Linked DNA regions of Macaca fascicularis. The protein of the gene in region 1 purifies or fractionates together with the protein of each later gene. This does not show direct contact. Links are inferred from orthologs where the notes say so. Each region holds a gene or a part of one and is shown in the gene's direction. Other genes may lie near its edges.

What was found.
Region 2: the proteins of CDK8 (region 1) and MED9 purify together in Homo sapiens (affinity purification with mass spectrometry; 10 studies listed by BioGRID and IntAct, counting the BioPlex papers as one, with this or other methods). This does not show direct contact. The link is inferred for Macaca fascicularis from reciprocal best matches to the Homo sapiens genes CDK8 and MED9.
Region 3: the proteins of CDK8 (region 1) and MED31 purify together in Homo sapiens (affinity purification with mass spectrometry; 7 studies listed by BioGRID and IntAct, with this or other methods). This does not show direct contact. The link is inferred for Macaca fascicularis from reciprocal best matches to the Homo sapiens genes CDK8 and MED31.
Region 4: the proteins of CDK8 (region 1) and MED25 purify together in Homo sapiens (affinity purification with mass spectrometry; 8 studies listed by BioGRID and IntAct, counting the BioPlex papers as one, with this or other methods). This does not show direct contact. The link is inferred for Macaca fascicularis from reciprocal best matches to the Homo sapiens genes CDK8 and MED25.
Region 5: the proteins of CDK8 (region 1) and MED20 purify together in Homo sapiens (affinity purification with mass spectrometry; 8 studies listed by BioGRID and IntAct, counting the BioPlex papers as one, with this or other methods). This does not show direct contact. The link is inferred for Macaca fascicularis from reciprocal best matches to the Homo sapiens genes CDK8 and MED20.

What each region holds. Positions count from the first base shown.
Region 1 is NC_088391.1:6,305,606-6,309,611, forward strand, and holds the start of CDK8 (cyclin-dependent kinase 8), read left to right. Parts: upstream 1-1,206; 5' UTR 1,207-1,719; coding exon 1,720-1,847; intron 1,848-4,006.
Region 2 is NC_088390.1:17,591,592-17,594,492, forward strand, and holds the end of MED9 (mediator of RNA polymerase II transcription subunit 9), read left to right. Parts: intron 1-456; coding exon 457-673; 3' UTR 674-2,401; downstream 2,402-2,901.
Region 3 is NC_088390.1:6,686,294-6,689,264, reverse strand, and holds the end of MED31 (mediator of RNA polymerase II transcription subunit 31), read left to right. Parts: intron 1-1,139; coding exon 1,140-1,332; 3' UTR 1,333-2,471; downstream 2,472-2,971. Other genes in the region: TXNDC17 (thioredoxin domain-containing protein 17), read right to left, coding at 2,763-2,831. UniProt on the Homo sapiens protein: Component of the Mediator complex, a coactivator involved in the regulated transcription of nearly all RNA polymerase II-dependent genes.
Region 4 is NC_088393.1:57,821,044-57,825,067, forward strand, and holds the end of MED25 (mediator of RNA polymerase II transcription subunit 25), read left to right. Parts: coding exon of another isoform or gene 1-78; exon of another isoform or gene 79-113; intron 114-1,713; coding exon 1,714-1,958; 3' UTR 1,959-3,524; downstream 3,525-4,024. UniProt on the Homo sapiens protein: Component of the Mediator complex, a coactivator involved in the regulated transcription of nearly all RNA polymerase II-dependent genes.
Region 5 is NC_088378.1:129,652,266-129,655,765, forward strand, and holds part of MED20 (mediator of RNA polymerase II transcription subunit 20), read left to right. Parts: intron 1-1,543; coding exon 1,544-1,698; intron 1,699-3,500. UniProt on the Homo sapiens protein: Component of the Mediator complex, a coactivator involved in the regulated transcription of nearly all RNA polymerase II-dependent genes.

The sequences.
Region 1 (4,006 bases):
ATAAACATGTTTATTCATTCATTAATTTAACAAGTGTTTACTGTGCATCATTATCAAGGCATGACACTAGGTTTTATGGAAGATGCAAATATGACTTCCTATAACAACTTAGGATCTAGCAAGGGAGAGGAAATAAAAGATGAAACGGAATTTGATAAATAACACAGGAAAGGTGGAAAAAAAGTGTTAAAAAGTTCACATTAAAAGTGCAAAGTTCCCTTTGGGAAGTGGGGAGCTTTAGTGGAAATGGTAACAATTGGAAACCAAAAATTAAAAACAGACAAATAAGAGGGATAAGATAAAATGATAGATTAGTATCAATCTTGAAGCAGGACTCCTGAAGCAGGACATACTGCTACCGCAAAATTATTAACAAACTAGTTCCCATGGATTTAGATCCTTTCTGTAATCATAGCTAGAAACTGGTGTTCTTATGGGGAGCATCGCAGAAGGCTGTACTGTACTCAATACTTCCTATAAATGGACAGGAAAGGTTGGATGGTCATCTGTCACAAGAGTAACAATGTTTAGAAGTAGCTTGGACAGTAGTCATTGATTCACTTTTACTGGAGCTTGTAATGTCAGTATGTTGACATCATTGTGCAGCCCTTATCAGATTGTGAACACCAAGAGTACCCCAACTGCTGGCCCGCGAGCTGTTTACAAATATATCCGCTTTTATAGATGACAGTGGCCTTTAACATCTGGAGTTCAGAGTGGCACAAAATGTGTTTCTAAAGCTACTCTCCTTCCCACGTGCATCTCTTTGGTCAAGTTTATGGCTGGAATCAGACTCTAGTTAGATCGCTATAAAAATAAAAATAAAAATAAAAATAAATTTTCCCCAAGTGATTGAAACGAATTTCACCCTAGACTACGAGTCCCAACATGCAACGCTCCCATATTCCCACCATGTGGGGCGGAGTCGTAGAAGAGGCGGCAGCGGCGGCGGCCTATGCATTCTGGGTATTGTAGTCTCGGAACCGGCCACCGCTGGGGCTGGTCCCACGTGTTGCGTTTTGCGGCAGCTTTGGGCAGCGGCTCCCCTGCTCCCTCCACACGGTCCTCAGGGTGCCAGCGCCAGCAGGGGCGGCCAGCCACCGCGGGAGCGGGTTGGAGGGTGGTTCGGAGGCAGCCCGAGGCTTCGCGACGTTTTTGCGACAGCCGCGGCCGTGTTCCGCGAGTGCCCTCCCTCCTCCTCTCTTTGAGGAGGTACCGGCTGTTGTGCGGCGCTGCCTTTCTGTTTGAGTGTATGGGAGAGTGAGTGAGTGAGTGAGTGTGAGCGTGTGTGTGAGCGCGTGAGGCGTGAGTGCGCGTGTGAGAGGACGAGAGCCCGCCTGGCCGCCCCGCCGCTCCCGCCGCAGCAGGAGCAGAACGCGCGACCGGAGAGAGCGGCGGAGCCGGCGCCCAGGGAGCCCGCGGGGACAAGGGCAGAGACACCGCTCCCCACCCCCAGCCCTCGTCCCTCGGCTCTGCTTCGCCGGGGGATCCTCCCCGTTCCTCCACCCCCGGCCGGCCTCTGCCCCGCTGCCCCCCTGGATGTCCCCGGCGCTTTCGCGGGGCCTCCTCCTGCTCTTGCCGCATCAGTCGGGCTGGTGCTGCGGCCGGCGGGCGTAGAGCGGGCGGGTTCCCGGGGGCTGCGGCTGCCCGTGCTTCCCCGGTCCCCACCCCTGCCCCCCGGCCCCCCGACCCAGCTCTCCGGCCTCGGAGGCTGTGACAATGGACTATGACTTTAAAGTGAAGCTGAGCAGCGAGCGGGAGCGGGTCGAGGACCTGTTTGAATACGAGGGCTGCAAAGTTGGCCGAGGCACTTATGGTCACGTCTACAAAGCCAAGAGGAAAGATGGGTGAGTGTGTGCGTCTGGGCCGGTGTCCGCGCTGGGCGGCGCTCCCGCAGGCCGAGGCAGGTAGCCCGGAGGGAGAGCGGGCCGCCGGGGTGCCGGGCTCTGACTTCCTCGACGCCGGCCTCTGGCTCCGCCAGCAAGGTTTGGGGAGGAAGTGGTGTACAAGGGATCCAAAGCCACAAGAAATCCTGCGTGCCGCATCTGTGTTGTGCTTCGGTGCTAAGAGGGAAGAGGAGCCTCTGCACCGTGGGCTATATACTTTTCAAGGATTTCAAAGCTGATTTATGAAAAAATGCGTTCTAAAACGCCGGGTGAAATGTTTCTGTTTGTTTTTTTTTCCTTGGTCGATTTATTATGGTAACCTTCTGGGGATTTCCTCACCCGCCTCGGGAGTGTCATCCATCGGTCTAGAAGGAAGGCTGTGATCCTTTCCCCCACCAGTTTGTGATCGATTTTTTATCAAATTTGTATTTTATTTGAGGGAAGGAAGGCAGCGAGTGAATGTAGTTCTGGAGAGAGTTCCCCATACGGATCATCTGCACCATACATGTTGCAGTTGCTATTTAGATATTATTAGCTGTGAATTTTTACATAGAACAATGGGGGTTTGGTGCAGGGTGGGTGGTGGGGAAGAAGACAAGTGACATAGGGACTATCTCGTTGAGGCTGTTTCCCCCAAATTTAGCGGCTGGCAGTGAACTTTAAATAATCCCTTTGCTTTAAATATTCTTCCCTAGTAACAACTTAATTAAACCTATGAGTGGTAATGCTTCCAATTTAGTTTCTTAACAGGCAAGTGAATTGTTCGTTTTTTTCTCTTTGTCAGTAGATGAATGTCTTGTAATATTGACAAAAGAGAAGGCAGTTCTTAGTGGGGGGGAATAATATATATTTTATTAACTCCATGTTTTCTTGTAAAATGGATGTTGTCTCTGTTGCCTTTGACAGAATAGAAAATTATTGAAAAGTCAAAGCTTATTATATAATCTTTGGATTTTATTAGAAACGAAGTAGCTTTACTGGAACATTCCAGTTTAGTTACCTGCTATATGATGTTTAATCACTTAAAATTTCAGATTAGGAGAGTATGTTCAGACTACATTAGCACGAAAAAAAATTCATAAAGCTGAAGTTCCCTAGTGTGGGGGAGGGGGGCGCATATTTATAAATACTTTAGTATTCTGGATGTTGGAAAGGAAAGTGTGTATTTATTCAACATTTTTCTTAGATTTACTGAAATATCTTTCTAAAAGTGTTTACAATGGACTCTACGAGGAAGATAAGAGTTCTCATTAATTTGGAATATGTATTTTAGTGCTTTTATGCCACAATAAAGTGGAACAGATCGGCAGAAGGTAGGGATTTGGATTTGAAAACTTGATACTCTGGGCGCCGCACGTATTTAAAAGTACTTTTTAGCACTGGAGAAATCAGCGTCTGGAGATACTGCTGACTCTGTTGATGTCTAATTAGACTTATTGTTGAAGTTTTACTCTGTAATGACATATATTTTAAAAATTATGTTTGATAACTTACCATACAATATTTCTCAAAAGCTTTAAACCATCTCTCCTTCCCCCAGTATTATGTAATTTTGGGCATATTCATAAAATCCCCAATCCCATGAGATTAGACATTACAGTGCATTTGACCACACTGTCATGTTATATAAAATTCTAGCGCCTTTGCATTATTTTTAATCTGTGTGAGAGAAGCCGCTTCTGTTTTCAAAAACTATGAACTTAAGCTAATAAAATATGCATATTTGTTTTAACGTTGTACTTTTATTAGAAAACTAATACTGTGTATTGGCAGGAGGTACTTAAGCAAATATTTTATATCTCCATGGTCCGGTTTTAATTTAGGTTGTTAAGAATAATTTGAAAGAATAATTTCAATATCTTTGAATTTAAAGATAGTTGAAGGTATAATGTATGGACATTCTTAGTCATCCGTGACAGCTGAAAAGTAACATTGCATTTTGGAAAAAAGAGCTTATTATTTGTAATCCTTGGCGTTTGTTTTCCATCAGTCTTTAATGATTCTCTTTATGTGATGAACTTCTGTTTTTAATGGATCAAATGTCAAGAGAGTTTTAAAATTACTATCTTTTAGAGATAGTTTTGGAGAGTTTTAAAATTACAGGGATTTTTCAGTTTGAC
Region 2 (2,901 bases), on another chromosome or scaffold:
TTTAGCAAGTTTTGTTTGGCATTTGTCACCTGATATTGGTATTGGTTTGTTAATTGAACCAACATGTTCATGAGCTTATTTGCCAAGCATTCATTCTTTCCACAGACATTTCTTGAGTGCCTGCAGTGTGCCACACACTGGGCCGAGGGTAGGGAGACACCTGTGACCAGACAGACATGGTCCTTGACCTCACAGAGTGACAGTTGACTTGACAGAAGATCAAGAGTGTCTGTGTGTGATCTGCAAGTGTTCTAGGCCTGGGAGCTCTTTGCTGGCTGCCTAAAAGAGAACCCGTCCCTTCCTCTGGGGGTGGACAGCCTAGTCAGAGGCTAGACACATAAAATGAAGTGTTCTAAAAGCTATCGCAGGAATGACAGCGAGCTCTGGGGGGTGCAGGATGGGAAAGCCAAGACATGTATCAAGCTGCGAATGCTAACAGCTGTTCTTCCCCCACAGCATGGACAAGGACAGCCCGGAGGTCCACCAGGACCTGAACGCCCTCAAAACCAAGTTCCAGGAGATGCGCAAGCTCATCAGCACCATGCCCGGCATCCACCTGAGCCCTGAGCAGCAGCAGCAGCAGCTGCAGAGCCTCCGGGAGCAAGTCAGGACCAAGAACGAGCTTCTGCAAAAGTACAAGAGCCTCTGCATGTTCGAAATCCCCAAGGAGTAGAGTGAGGCCGACTTCCTGAGAAACGGGGGGAAGCCAATGGCCTGTCTCCCCACTACCATCCCCAAAGTCTCCTTGGGGCGTGGTTCCTGTGGACCCCAGCTCAGAACCTCAAGGTGCAGGGGCGGGGCTCCTGTGCTGCTGCATGTGCGTCGCCTGTGCGGGAGCCAGCACCGAGCTTGGCTGCGCTGGGTTTCTTCGTGTAGATCCATATGTCTAGATGCATAATAACTGGAGTGCCTGCTGGTGGAAGTCAGAATGCTCCTGGAGGCAGCGGAGGGGGTGGAGGGCTCTCCCCTGCCGCTGGGGAGGGGGCCATCTGCTGCGCCGGGCTCCACTGACAGATCTGAAGAGCACAGTAGGAAGGGAGGCAGTTCCTCTTTGCTTCCTTCCCTCCCTCTCCTCCCACCCCCATAGGATCAGTGTGTACCAGGTACACATTGTTCCCGTTAAAGCAGCTTCTTGAAACATTTGCATAGAATTCACTGGATGAATTAAGCCTGCGCTCATATGGCGTAGAACTGTGAGATAATGTTTTGAAAGGCCAGAGGGTGGCCTTTTTCCCAAACAGTTTGGTTCCTTTTATGTTTGAGCCAGTGAATGGAACTATAGCTGTGGGGGTGTCAGCCCAGAGCCCTGCCAGGCAGCCCCTTGCTCCAGGTTCCCTGCCTCCTCCAGGTTCCCTGCCTCCTGGGCTCTCCTCGCGGTCACCTCTTGCTCCCTTCCTCGCTCATCACCCTCAGTCAGTGCCCAAGAGTGGACAAAACGCTTCAGATGTGCTTCCCCAGGGTTGACAAGGGGCCATCCTTTCCACACAGGCTCGAAGAGGTCTTCAGGCGAACAGACCTTCCCCCTTCTGGCATTTCAGATTCCCATTGCTCTGGTTAAAAGATCTTTTCCTTCTGGCCTTTGCACTTGTGGCAGCAACATGTACTACACTGCAGAGGGGTTCACTATGCACCTTGTGTTCAGAGAGCGGCAACCCTGGGGGCCAGTTCAGGTGGTCCCCGACCATGAGCTAGGTCTGAAAGTTACACAGCCAAGTTTGAGCTCTTAAAAGTTTGTGAACAGCCCTCATTTCCCCAGCTTCCCTGATTTCTTCCAGATGGGACGTTTTGTTTGTGTGCTCTCCCTTGCCTGTCAGACTGAGGTAAGAGCAGTTCTCTCCCTTTCCTCTCGAGGAGGAGGTGTGAAGTCCTGGAGTATTGTTTGGGTCTAGGAATGGGCACATAACCTGCGCTGACCAGTTTAGGGGCTTAACAGATGCCCGTCAACTGACCTCGTTGGCAGGAGGATTGGGTGGAGATGTTTTTAGCAGAGCTTCCATTAGTGTAGACCTGTAGCCACGTGTCAGAAGGTGGGTGGCATATTGGGGACCTGGGGCTGTGTGAAGGAGGAGATCAGATTTCAGTGGCTTTGGGCAGAAAAGCAGGCTCTGGATTTAAGCGAGTGGTCACCTGTGAGACCAGTTCTACCTTGGGACTGTTATTTAACTGAATCAGTTATTTCCTTGAAATTTCACAGTAGTGGGTGGGCCAGTTTTAAGGCTCTGACAGATACCATGAAACATGAAGCACGTGGAAAATACAAGACCCCCAGGGTCTTTCTGAGTGCAAGGCTGAAATGGACAAGGGCTCCTCGTAGGGGCGGAGGGAGCCGGAGCCTGCCTTGTGTTCCTTTGTTGACTTGTAACATTTTTCAAATGCATAATTAAAAGGACTTACGCTCTGCTGTCTCAGGACATCATGCTTTTTGGACTGAGAAATTCATAGTGGGATGGCTCTCAGGGAGTTGAGAGAAAAATGTTTCTGTCTATTCAGACACAGAACCACACCTCTGCTTATCACCTCCCTCCGCCCCAGGACACACACCTGCTGAACCAGTATGGAACAGGAACTCCTCTCCTGGCTGGCCTCAAGGGCAGTTTGCCTGGCGTGTCATCCCTGCCAGTGCCTGTCACGAGCCCCTGGGCCATCCGTGGTTGCGTTTTTTTTTTTTTTTTTCTTCTGGTGGGGCGCGGCGGGGTGGGGGGTGCCTTTCTGTGACTGGAGGAGGAGCCACCCTCACTGGAGCAGGGTTGAAATCCTTCTCAGACGATTTTGAGTGTCTCTCACAGGGCTGAGCACCCTCTCAAAGCCACCAATTATTTGGATTACTGGGTGGCCAGCATTTGTGCTAAGTACTTTTCAAACATCGCACTTAATCCCCATAGCGAGCCCATGCCAGGGGTG
Region 3 (2,971 bases), on another chromosome or scaffold:
TTTAGCATCTTTTGAAGATATTTGTTTGAAACATTTTTTACTGTGGTGATTTTCGAATTCTGTCATTCTGCATTTATTAGTTTGGAATTCGATTGTAAGGCAGTACATTCCCTTGTTTTCTATTTATTATTTTATTAAAGAAATTTACATCCATTTAGTATTTTATCCTGTGAATTAGAATTATGTATTTTCTTGCTCTGAGTATTCTAGATTTGGCCATTGGGAGTCCCTTCAAGTTGGTTCCTGAATACTTTTGATCGTCCCAATAATTTTTAGCACTTTTTCTTCTGGCACTACGTAATGTTCCAGGCTCATCTTGTACTTTCCCTCTCTTATCCCTGAATCACCCTTTTCTCCAAGGAAACCTGCTCCTTGGATACCACAATCTGGACATTGTGTGTTCATTAGTACCACAGTGTCATTGCTTCTAGGCCCTCTCAGTACACAAAGCTCAAGAACTCTATGTTTGTATGTGTATCCATGCACACATGTATACATCTGTTTATCCTGTCTACCTATATTAAAAGCCCTAAGTACATACTAATGTTTTCAATACCAGCTCAGTAACACAGGATTCATTCTAGCCTTTTTCCTTTCCTTGTCGAAATTTGGCTGTCCTTATCCACAGTATATTTACTTGTCCAATCCTAGAGTATATCTAATTTCAGAGTTGGTATATCCCTGTGGACAAGAAGAGTATAATGTATGTGCATAGTTCTCTTTCAAACCAACTCACTTTTAAATGAAAGTTGTCTTTTTATCACTATTGATGGAAAAACAAAGAACTATCAATTAAACACAGAATTAGTAAAATATGTTCATGTTCTTCACGTTGGAAACCACTAGAAGGGAATAGCATGGTTTGTCCCTACATTTTCACTCTGCTTACCAGTTACTGTGTTGTGTGGTCCTGAGCAAGTTTAAATTTAATCTTTCTGAACTTAAACCTTCTCACTTTCGAAAATATTGCTGAACACTGACCTTTGATGACCAATCAGGGAAAACACCCTATGCTGCCAGTGTGTACTAAGTTAAAGAAATGGTAGGCTACAAGATCATTTTTAAGAGAATAACTTAATTAGACCTTGGCATTATTTACTTAAATTATGTTGTTCATTTACTTATAAACTTAAACCCAGGTACCCTCAGTGTTTACACATGTTAGAGCTGCTCCAATACGAACACTTCCGAAAGGAGCTGGTGAATGCTCAGTGTGCGAAATTCATTGATGAACAGCAGATTCTACATTGGCAGCACTATTCCCGGAAGCGGATGCGCCTTCAGCAAGCCTTGGCAGAGCAGCAACAGCAAAATAACACATCGGGAAAATGAAAAACCGGATACAGATGAGGCTCTCAATACATGTATATAATGTATTTCTTTTGTACAGTGAAGACAAAAAATGAAAACTCTTCCTATCTACCTTTATTATGGTAGCCCCTAGAACCTTTAGTGTGCTTTTTAATCCAACTTTTTATTGTTAATAGACTATTTCTTTTAAACCTGAATTGGTCTACTTTGATTTCCCTGTGGATTTGTAAGGTGTTTTCTTTTGTATGCATTTAGCATAGTCAGCTGATTAAGAATGGAAAAGTTAGGTGCTTTAGACCAAATGAGGCACTGGGGCATGGGGTAGGGGTGGGCCACCAAGTATACTGAATTCTAAGGCTAGCTCTTCCTGACATATAGTAGCGCAAGGCCATCTCCTGGAACCTTACTGTCTCTCAGATCAACTACTCTACCACTCTTATCTATGTAGTGAGAGTAGCGGAGTCAGTGACCTCTTGAAATCACAGGATAGGAACTGCATAAAGGTTCTCAAATTCTGCAGGACAGGAAATCCCTGTATTACCTGCTTTGCAAGGTGGCTTTAAGAATCACTGTGGCCTCATTTGACCTAGTCATGGCAGGACAACTAGTGGTTAATTACTAATTGGACTCTTGACTTTAGAACAAACATGAGGAGCCTCAAATACTTGTGCTCATTTGGGAAAACTAACATTGATTTGGGAGGTACCACATACCAGGTGCTATGTTAAGTGCTTCCTTGAATTCTCATTTTATTCTCAGAACCTTGTTTACAGAAGAGAAAACTGAGGTTTGGATGGGGCGGGTAACTTGCCTGTGGTTACACAGCTAGTAAGTGGTAGAATCAGTGTGACTGACTCCAGCTTGGAGTTCTTCCCACCACTGGGTTACACAGTCTTTCCAGCCCCTCTCCGCCACCTGCCTAATCCCAAGTAAAGCACATTGAGAGAGCCGCAAAACGAACTGCCTCTAGTGCTCAGGATCGGTTTCTTCATGAACAAAACAAAACTGCCTGAATTAAGCAGAGGCTGGATTAGAGGTAATATGCTTCCTTCAGTGGTGAGGTTAGGTTCTACGTTCCAAAATCAAAGAAGGGGTTTCAGGAATATCAGTTGCTTTGCAGATGCAGATAATTTAAAATAAAAGATCCTGATCTTTTGAAAGATTTGGAAGGTGTGCTCTGCGCCTTTAGGAGTTTTTAGGTATTTCCGTCACCTTCAATGATACATTCCTTTGAGCCTTTACTGCTACTTCTGAAGACTTGTTTATATCTTAAAAATATCCATATATTACAGGCAAACTAAAGGTTCATGGGCATTTTAATAGCACTCTACTGTTTAGACACATGCCAGTTTTTTAACCTCATTTATTGCTAACATGTATTCAAAGCAATATACAGTTTATTGATACTAGAACAAATCAGGAAATCAAGACATGATTGCCATCATAAAATCTTAATCTTCAGAGAACAACATTTCCACCAGGTTGGCCTGAAGACACTCAGATTCTACCAGTTTTTGAGGCTGTAAGAGAAGAACAGTCAAATCTTCACTACTCCTATAAAACGTTATTAGGAGTGGAATAGGTTCTGCCTTGAATGACACTAATCTTTGAACACAGAAATTATGCAATTCAGAAACTATCAACTAGTTATAACAAGTTT
Region 4 (4,024 bases), on another chromosome or scaffold:
GGTCCCCGAGGCCCGGTCCCCCAGCCGGGCCTGCAGCCCAGCGTCATGGAGGACGACATCCTCATGGATCTCATCTGAATCCCCAACACCCAATAAAGTTCCTTTTTAACACACGCCCCGGCTCCCGTCACTGACATCCCCCAGGACTGGGCAGGAGGAAACCCCAGGGGGCATCTCTGTCCTTGTTCTCACTTCAGCAGATATCCCTGGGGCCCTGGGTGGGTGACGCCGGGGCCTCCGTGGTGAGTCAGAGGCAGTCTGGTGCAACCTGGTTCGTGGGAGATGCAGGGACAGGCAGGCAGCGCTCAGGACTCAAGCTCTCATGGAGGTGGCGGGGCACCATGGGAGCCTGGAAGAGGTGTCTGACCCAGCCCCAGCTCCTCAGTCTTGAAAGAGAATCAGCTGTCAGGCCGGGAGGGAAGGAGGTGAGGGGTGATCTGGGTGCAGAGAACAACAGAAACTTTGAATACTCAAAGACAGGAGGAAGCCTGGGATGTTGAGAGGAGCAAATTGATGGATGCTTTTGGAGCATGAGCGTGTAGGGAGCTCATGTGTAGAGAGATGGGCAGGTGCAGAGTTTGAGGAGCTCAGATGCCAAACTGAGCAGCCCGTGGTTTGTCCTGGGGACACAGGAGAACCAGGAGACTTTGAGCGGTGGGGCGGGCTTAGGCCGGCTCTGGATGTCAGAAAGAGCCCTCTCAGCTGTGGAGCGTGATGAGACCAGACAGGAGGCCAGGAAGGGTGAGGCTGGGTGGTGGGGATGCTGGGGACTGGGGTAGAGGTTGGCTTCTGGGGTCAGGCCTACGTGATGGTAGGTGGTGGGGCTCCTGGGAGAAGGAGCTGGTAGTAAGTGTACGTGGTCCAAGGGACGTCCAGGTGACAGGTGCCATTTTGGGAGCTCAGGACGTGTCCTTAGAGGACAGTGTATGTTTGGGGTTCAAGCCACAGAAGCAGACAAGATCGCACATGGAGAGAGGGTGGTCCCTGGGTCCACATCAGAGACTGACCTTCCAGGGCTGTGGACGGGAAGACGGTGGGTCTGTCCCCAGGATGGAATACCCAGCAGGGAACAGGTTTGGGATGTGGCAAGGTGAGGGACCTAAAGGATGGCCTCAGAGACATCCTGAGGGCAGGGGATCCAGACAGGCTTGGAGCGCAGGGCGGTCTCTCCTGGAGGTGGAGAGTGAGTTGTCTGTTGTCGGACTCTGGACCAGTGTTGCTGAGAGCGCGGTCCATGCCTGGACCACCAGCATCCACATCATTTTGGATGCTGGTTAACGTACAGATTCACAGGCCCCACCCCAGGAGAGAGATTGCAATCTGGTGGCCTATGGGCCATGGTGCAGATGAGTTTTGTTTGGCCTTCCCTGTGTTAGCATATGTGGCATTTTTTTCTTGAGTTAGTTATAAAAATCAGGTTAATACACACACACACACACACACACACGCAAAATCTGCAGTCTTGGCATCTTTTGACAAGTCAGAAGAATTGGCACCCCTGGGCCCGCCCTTCTGCCTGGCAACAACGGGCTGGAGCTGCCCCTCTCCATGGGGCGTGTGCTCTCCGGTTCGCCACAGTCCCCACCACTCCCTCTTGGCTCCCCTGTGAGGCAGAGAGTCACTGCCTTTGTCACGGGGCTTGCACTGTGGTTGTTCTGTGGTAGCATTCAGAGGAAAGTGAAATCTTTCTTGTACTCATGTCTGTATCACAAGCGGCAAAACGAAAGAGAGAAGGAGAGGGCCGCGTGTTTCGAGAAAAGTGGGAGCGAGCCTATTTCTTTGTGGAAGTGAAGAGCATGCCTATGTGTTTAATATGCAAACAAATCGTGTCTGTGTTGAAAGAATACAACCTGAAACGCCACTACGAATCAAAGCATAGCAAGAGCTACGACCAGTACACAGAGCAGACTCGAGACGCCATCCTCAGCGAACTGAAAAAGGGACTCAAATGTCAGTAGGGTTTGTCTTGAAAAGCGAATTAACAGAAGTGGTGCGGCAGTGGTACGCCGTTCCGGAATCACGTGAGAAGAATGACCTGGGCATTCAGAGCTACAGCAGATGGCGAGTTGATAAAGGAGCAGAGTGACGTGTCCTTTACAGAAACACATGACTGTTGAGACCATTATTTAAGTCTAACGGGCATTTGCGTTGCACAGTGAGTTGGAGATAACTCGGGGGATTTAGAAGTCCAGTTGCTTGAAAGAGTCAAATTGATTGTGGCCTTTTCTTTCGCTGCTCATAAACTATTACCACCCAGTTAGCTTTATTTATTTGTGGTGTTAAGAAACTTGATGTGACTGAAGAAGTCTGTGGCATGGTGCCAAGGCGGGCCCAACACTGGGAAAGGACTCATTTTTTTTTTTGTATATTGAGAGAAAAGTTTCACATAGACTGGCCAGAGTTCTGAAGCACAACTACAGACAGCTGTCATGACAGGGGGACTTGACAGGACACCTTGAGCCAAGGTGACAATTTGGCAAGGACACGGAAGTCGGGTCGTTGCATCCATCATCAGGAGTTGACTTGTTCTGAGCAGCTGAACAGAACACACCGTGACGCTCTCGACACTTCCGCTCCTGGGCTTTAGTCACGAGTGAGTTGATGATGACTTGACCTGAGAGATTTCACAGAAGCTCTGTGACTTGGTTGTGGAAGAAATTGAAACTGTACAAGTTAATCAGCTTGGTTCATTTTAAATCAAGCAAAAGCCACAGTGGGTTCCCCTGAGAAGGTTAGTCAAAGACTTCTGGTCAAGGTTATGACCGTTCTGAACACTGAATATTTCTCTGCAAGGATGTCCACAAACAGCTACTTGAATGTAAGATGGTATATGCTTGGTCCTGGCAAAAACGGGGAATCCACCAGCAAGGAAAAAAAACATTTACTCTTTCCTACGCCACAGTTGGCTTTCAGAAGTGAAAGACGTGGCCTGGACTATATTCACCTACGTCCTGGGGTGGAAGACCAAATTCCCCCAAAGGCCCTCGGAATCCAGACTCATGAGAAGGAAGAGACACTGTCCAGTTTGCCTTTGTTGGTAAATGTTTCTTGTGTGAATACAGACCATAAATAGTAATTGAACTATGGTGCAATACGGCGCTGGTTCCTAAATACAAGTCTGTGTGAAGATGGTGAGATTCTACAACTATCTCCAGTAGTTGTCCTGAATATCCATGTTTGGGAGTACCCACGCTTGTGAACAGCTGTTTTCCGTTACGAACCTGAATCAAATTAAACATTGTTCCCAGTTTAAGGATTCAAGGCTGAATTCTAAACTGCCCATCCCCACCGTGCCACCCCAAGGCCTGACACATCTCGGTGTGGAAGGGAAGACGCCAGCCTTTTGGCTTCAACTCAAAGGCGCAAAAAGAATTATGAAAGAGAATTTTAATAATTAAATATTTCTATTTTTCAATTTGTATTTTTTCAATTTTGAATTTAAAAATATAAACTCCAGTATCATCCATGTTTGTATTATGTTCCATGCATTCACCATAGTTCAGTAAAGATCCGATTTGATGATATTTCTGGCCGTCGACTTTTCTTATACCTGGCTAGTTCACTCATTTATGTGACCCGCCTGGCCCCTGTAGGCATGTGAGTTTCCCATCCCTGCCCTGGAACTGCTGGATCCAGCGGGGGGAGGGCGGGGGTGTGGGAGTCGTGTGAGCAAGCTCTCTAGGCGATCCTCAGGAATGTGCGTGTGGAGCAGGAGGCACTGGTGACAGCGAAGAAGTGAAAGTGGGGGATTTCCCAGGCAGCCTGTGTAGCAGGGGTTTTTGAAAACTCAGATGGCTTCAGGGACCAGGCAGGTGATGAAAATGTGTGAAGCGGACGGGTGTAAGACAACAGGGAATGATGGGGACTGTGGCGAACTTGGAGAGTGCTTGCCCCGCCTAATGGCATTCAAATTGAAACCAAAAACACTGTGAGGACCAAACAAAATCTGCCTGTGGGTCTAATGAGGCCGCCAGGCCGCCATTTTGCGACCTCTGGAAGAAGGAGAAGACTCGAGAACAAGGAC
Region 5 (3,500 bases), on another chromosome or scaffold:
TCGCTCTTGTTGTCCAGACTGGAAGGCAGTGGTGCGATCTTGGCTCACTGCAACCTCCGCCTCCTGGTTTCAAGCAATTCTCCTGCCTCAGCCTCCCATGTAGCTGGGATTACAGGCACACACCACCACGCCTGGCTAAGTTTTGTATTTTTGGTAGAGACAGGGTTTCACCATGTTGGCTAGGCTAGTCTTGAACTTCTGACCTCAAGTGATCCTCCCACCTCGGCCTTCCAAAGTGCTGGGATTACAGGTGTGAGCCACAGTGCCCGGCAGTTTCCTTATTTGTAACAAGTTGATAAATAACATCTTCATAGGACTATTGTGAGGATTTGGAGAGTTAATTCATCTAAAGGCCTTAGGACGCAGACTGGCACGTTGTTGGTTGGCAATTGTTACCTACCACTCTAAAGGGGAAGCCACCATATGAGGTTCACTCACCATAGGAGGAAACCTTGGAAATGTTTTTTTTGTTTTGTTTTGTTCCATTGTTTTGATTCAATTTTTGTGAATACTGTTGCCTCTCATTCCCGAAGATTATAAACTTGAAGGCTGCTTTTTTTCTGTTCCTAGGGCTGTTGACTAGAACTTTCTGTGATGATGGAAATGTTCTCTAACAGCAGTGTCCAATACACTAGTCCCAGCCACCTGTGGCTCTGGGCTACTGTGCTGAACAGCTCCACAGAGTTGGTAAAAACGTGTTAACCCAAACTGAGACTTTGTCCTTGATGTAGTCAGAACTGAAAGAGTTGCAAAAGGAATCCCTTTTTCATTATATAACTCAGCATTATTGAATGCTCAGCCTGTGTGCCATCTAGAATCTTCGGCATGCCACACTTGAGAATGTCCCATGATAGGAAGTTCATTGCTCTGGTGTGAGAATCCTGAGAACTATGCTTCAGTTCTTAGAGGGGCTCTCAGGGACAGTGGTCCTCTATTCCTTGTCTTTAAAATGGGGGACTGGTCCAAGTGTAATGAGTTATCTTAATTGATTGTTCACATTCGGTTACAGATTGGACTCCTTGTTCTACTCTTCCCCATTCTAACTACTGCACTTGACTGGTCTTAACTTTTTTTTTTTTTTTAAGATCGAGTCTCGCCCTGTTGCCCACACTGGAATACAATGGTGCAATCTCGGCTTACTGCGAGCTCTGCCTCCCAGGTTCAAATGATTCTCCTGCCTCAGCCTCACAAGTAGCTGGGATTACAGGCGCCTGCTACCACGCCCAGCTAAATAATTTTTGTATTTTTAATAGAGACAGGGTTTCACCATGTTGGCCATTCTTGTCTTGAACTCCTGACCTCGTGATCCGCCCACTTTGACCTCCCAAAGTGCTGGGATTACAGGCATGAGCCACCATGCCTGGCCAAAAAAAATTTTTTTTAAAATTTATAATAAAGTTGCAGGGGTTGGGAGACGGTCAGAGTAGGTAATTTCCAAGATAACTTTTGGCCCTGACGAGCTGTGATGCTGTGGGCGAGTGAGTGGCTCAGTGAGCACATGTGTGTCTCTGGATAACTGACAATTTGGTGCTCTCCTTTCCAGTGTGTCCCAGATGCCTGTGGCTGAGGGCAAGAGTGTTCAGCAAACCGTAGAGCTCCTTACCCGGAAATTGGAGATGCTTGGGGCAGAGAAGCAAGGAACATTTTGTGTGGACTGTGAGACTTACCATACGGCTGCATCTACCCTTGGCAGCCAAGGTCAGTGACATGGGTCTGTAGGATGGCTGGAACGAGGGTTGGAGTTAATAGACATTTGTGTTAATTGAAGTATTTCTGCTTTTCTGCTAAGGGTGGTGTTCTTAAACATGTGGCGAGATGTGTTTCTGAATTCATTAATTATTGGTTCTTTATTTCTTAGAATAGGGCCTTTGAAAGCTTTATTTTATTTTATTTTATTTTATTTATTTTGTTGAGACAGGGTCTTACTCTGTCGCCCAGGCTGGAGTGCAGTGGCATGATCACAGCTCACTGACTGCAGCCTCGACCCCCTGGGCTCAAGTGATCCTTCCACCTTGGCCTCCTGACTTGGCCTCCTGAGTAGCTGACATGACAGGCATGAGCCACCACACCTGGCTAATATTTTAAATTTTTTGTAGAGACAGGGTCTCCCTATGTTGACCAGGCTGGTTTTGAATTCCTGGCCTGAAGGGACTATCCGGCCTCAGCTTCCCAAAGTATTGGGATTATAGGTATGAGCCGCCACTCCTGGCTAAAGCTTTATTGAGGTATAGTTGATATACAAGCAGTTGCACACATCTAATGCATACATCTTAATGAGTTTGGATATATGCATACACCTATGATATCATCACCACAACCAAGGTACTAAACATATCTGTTACATCCCAAAATTTCTTTGTGTGTGTGTGTGTGTTTTTTTTTTTAAGAGATAGTCTTGCTTTGTTGTCCAGGCTGGAGTGCTTTGGTGTCTCATAGCTCACTGCAGCCTCAAACTCCTGGGGTCAGGTGATCCTCCCACCTTAGCCTCCTGAGTAGCTGAAACTACTGGCATGTGCCACCATGCCTGGCTGATTTTTTCACGTTTGGGTGGGGTCATGGGAGTGTCTTACTATGCTGCCCAAGTTCGTCTCAAACTCCCAGTCACAAGACATCCTTCCACCTTAGCTTCTCAAGTAGCTGGTATCAAACTCCTGAGCTCAGGGGATCCACCAGCAAGGGCCTCCCGAAGTGCTGAGATGACAGGCATGAGCCACCATGCCTGGCCCTTGTGTTCTTTGAGTGCTTTTTGTTTTGTGCAGTTTGAACTCTAAAAGCAATGTTTCTCAGAGGGTTAATCACTGACTAACCACATCAGAATCACCTGGGATGCTTGTTAGAGTTGCAGATTCCTGGCCTTGTTTACTGATTGACTGCTGCTGTAGGCCACGTAATCTACATTTAATAATCCAGACAATCCTTATGCACTCTGAAATTTGAGAAAGACTTGTTTTAGGCCCAGAAGTCTTTGTTTATGATTCTTTTAGAGCTTTAGGGCTTCTAGAAGTTTCTTTTTATAGAGTTCCTGTTTTCCTACACCTAACCATTGGCATTGACCTCCTCATTAGCATAAATCAATTGTTCTTTTTAGTGGATTGAGTGATGAGATGGGGTGTGGATGATGGGGGATGGTGGTTGGGAGGGAGAGAGGATTTTTTTTTTTTTCTTTTTAGAGTGAGGGTCTCACTTTGTTGCCCAACTGTACAGTGGCATGATCACAGCTCACTGCAAGCTCTTAACTCCTGGGCTCAGGCAATGAGAAACTCTTTGGATATGAGTTAGGGAACTTGTTTCTCTTAGTCTTGGCTCTGCAGTAACTTGACCTTGAACAGTTCCATAACACTGGTTATCACTGGGGAGCCAGAGCCCTGAGTCCTGGCTTTGCCACATTCTAACTGTGTACCTGTAGGTAACTCCAACAACCTATCTGTTACTATTTCCACGCCTCTCACGTACCTGTTTCCCTTAGATCCATTTCCTGCACTTCCCCTGTAAGCTGTATT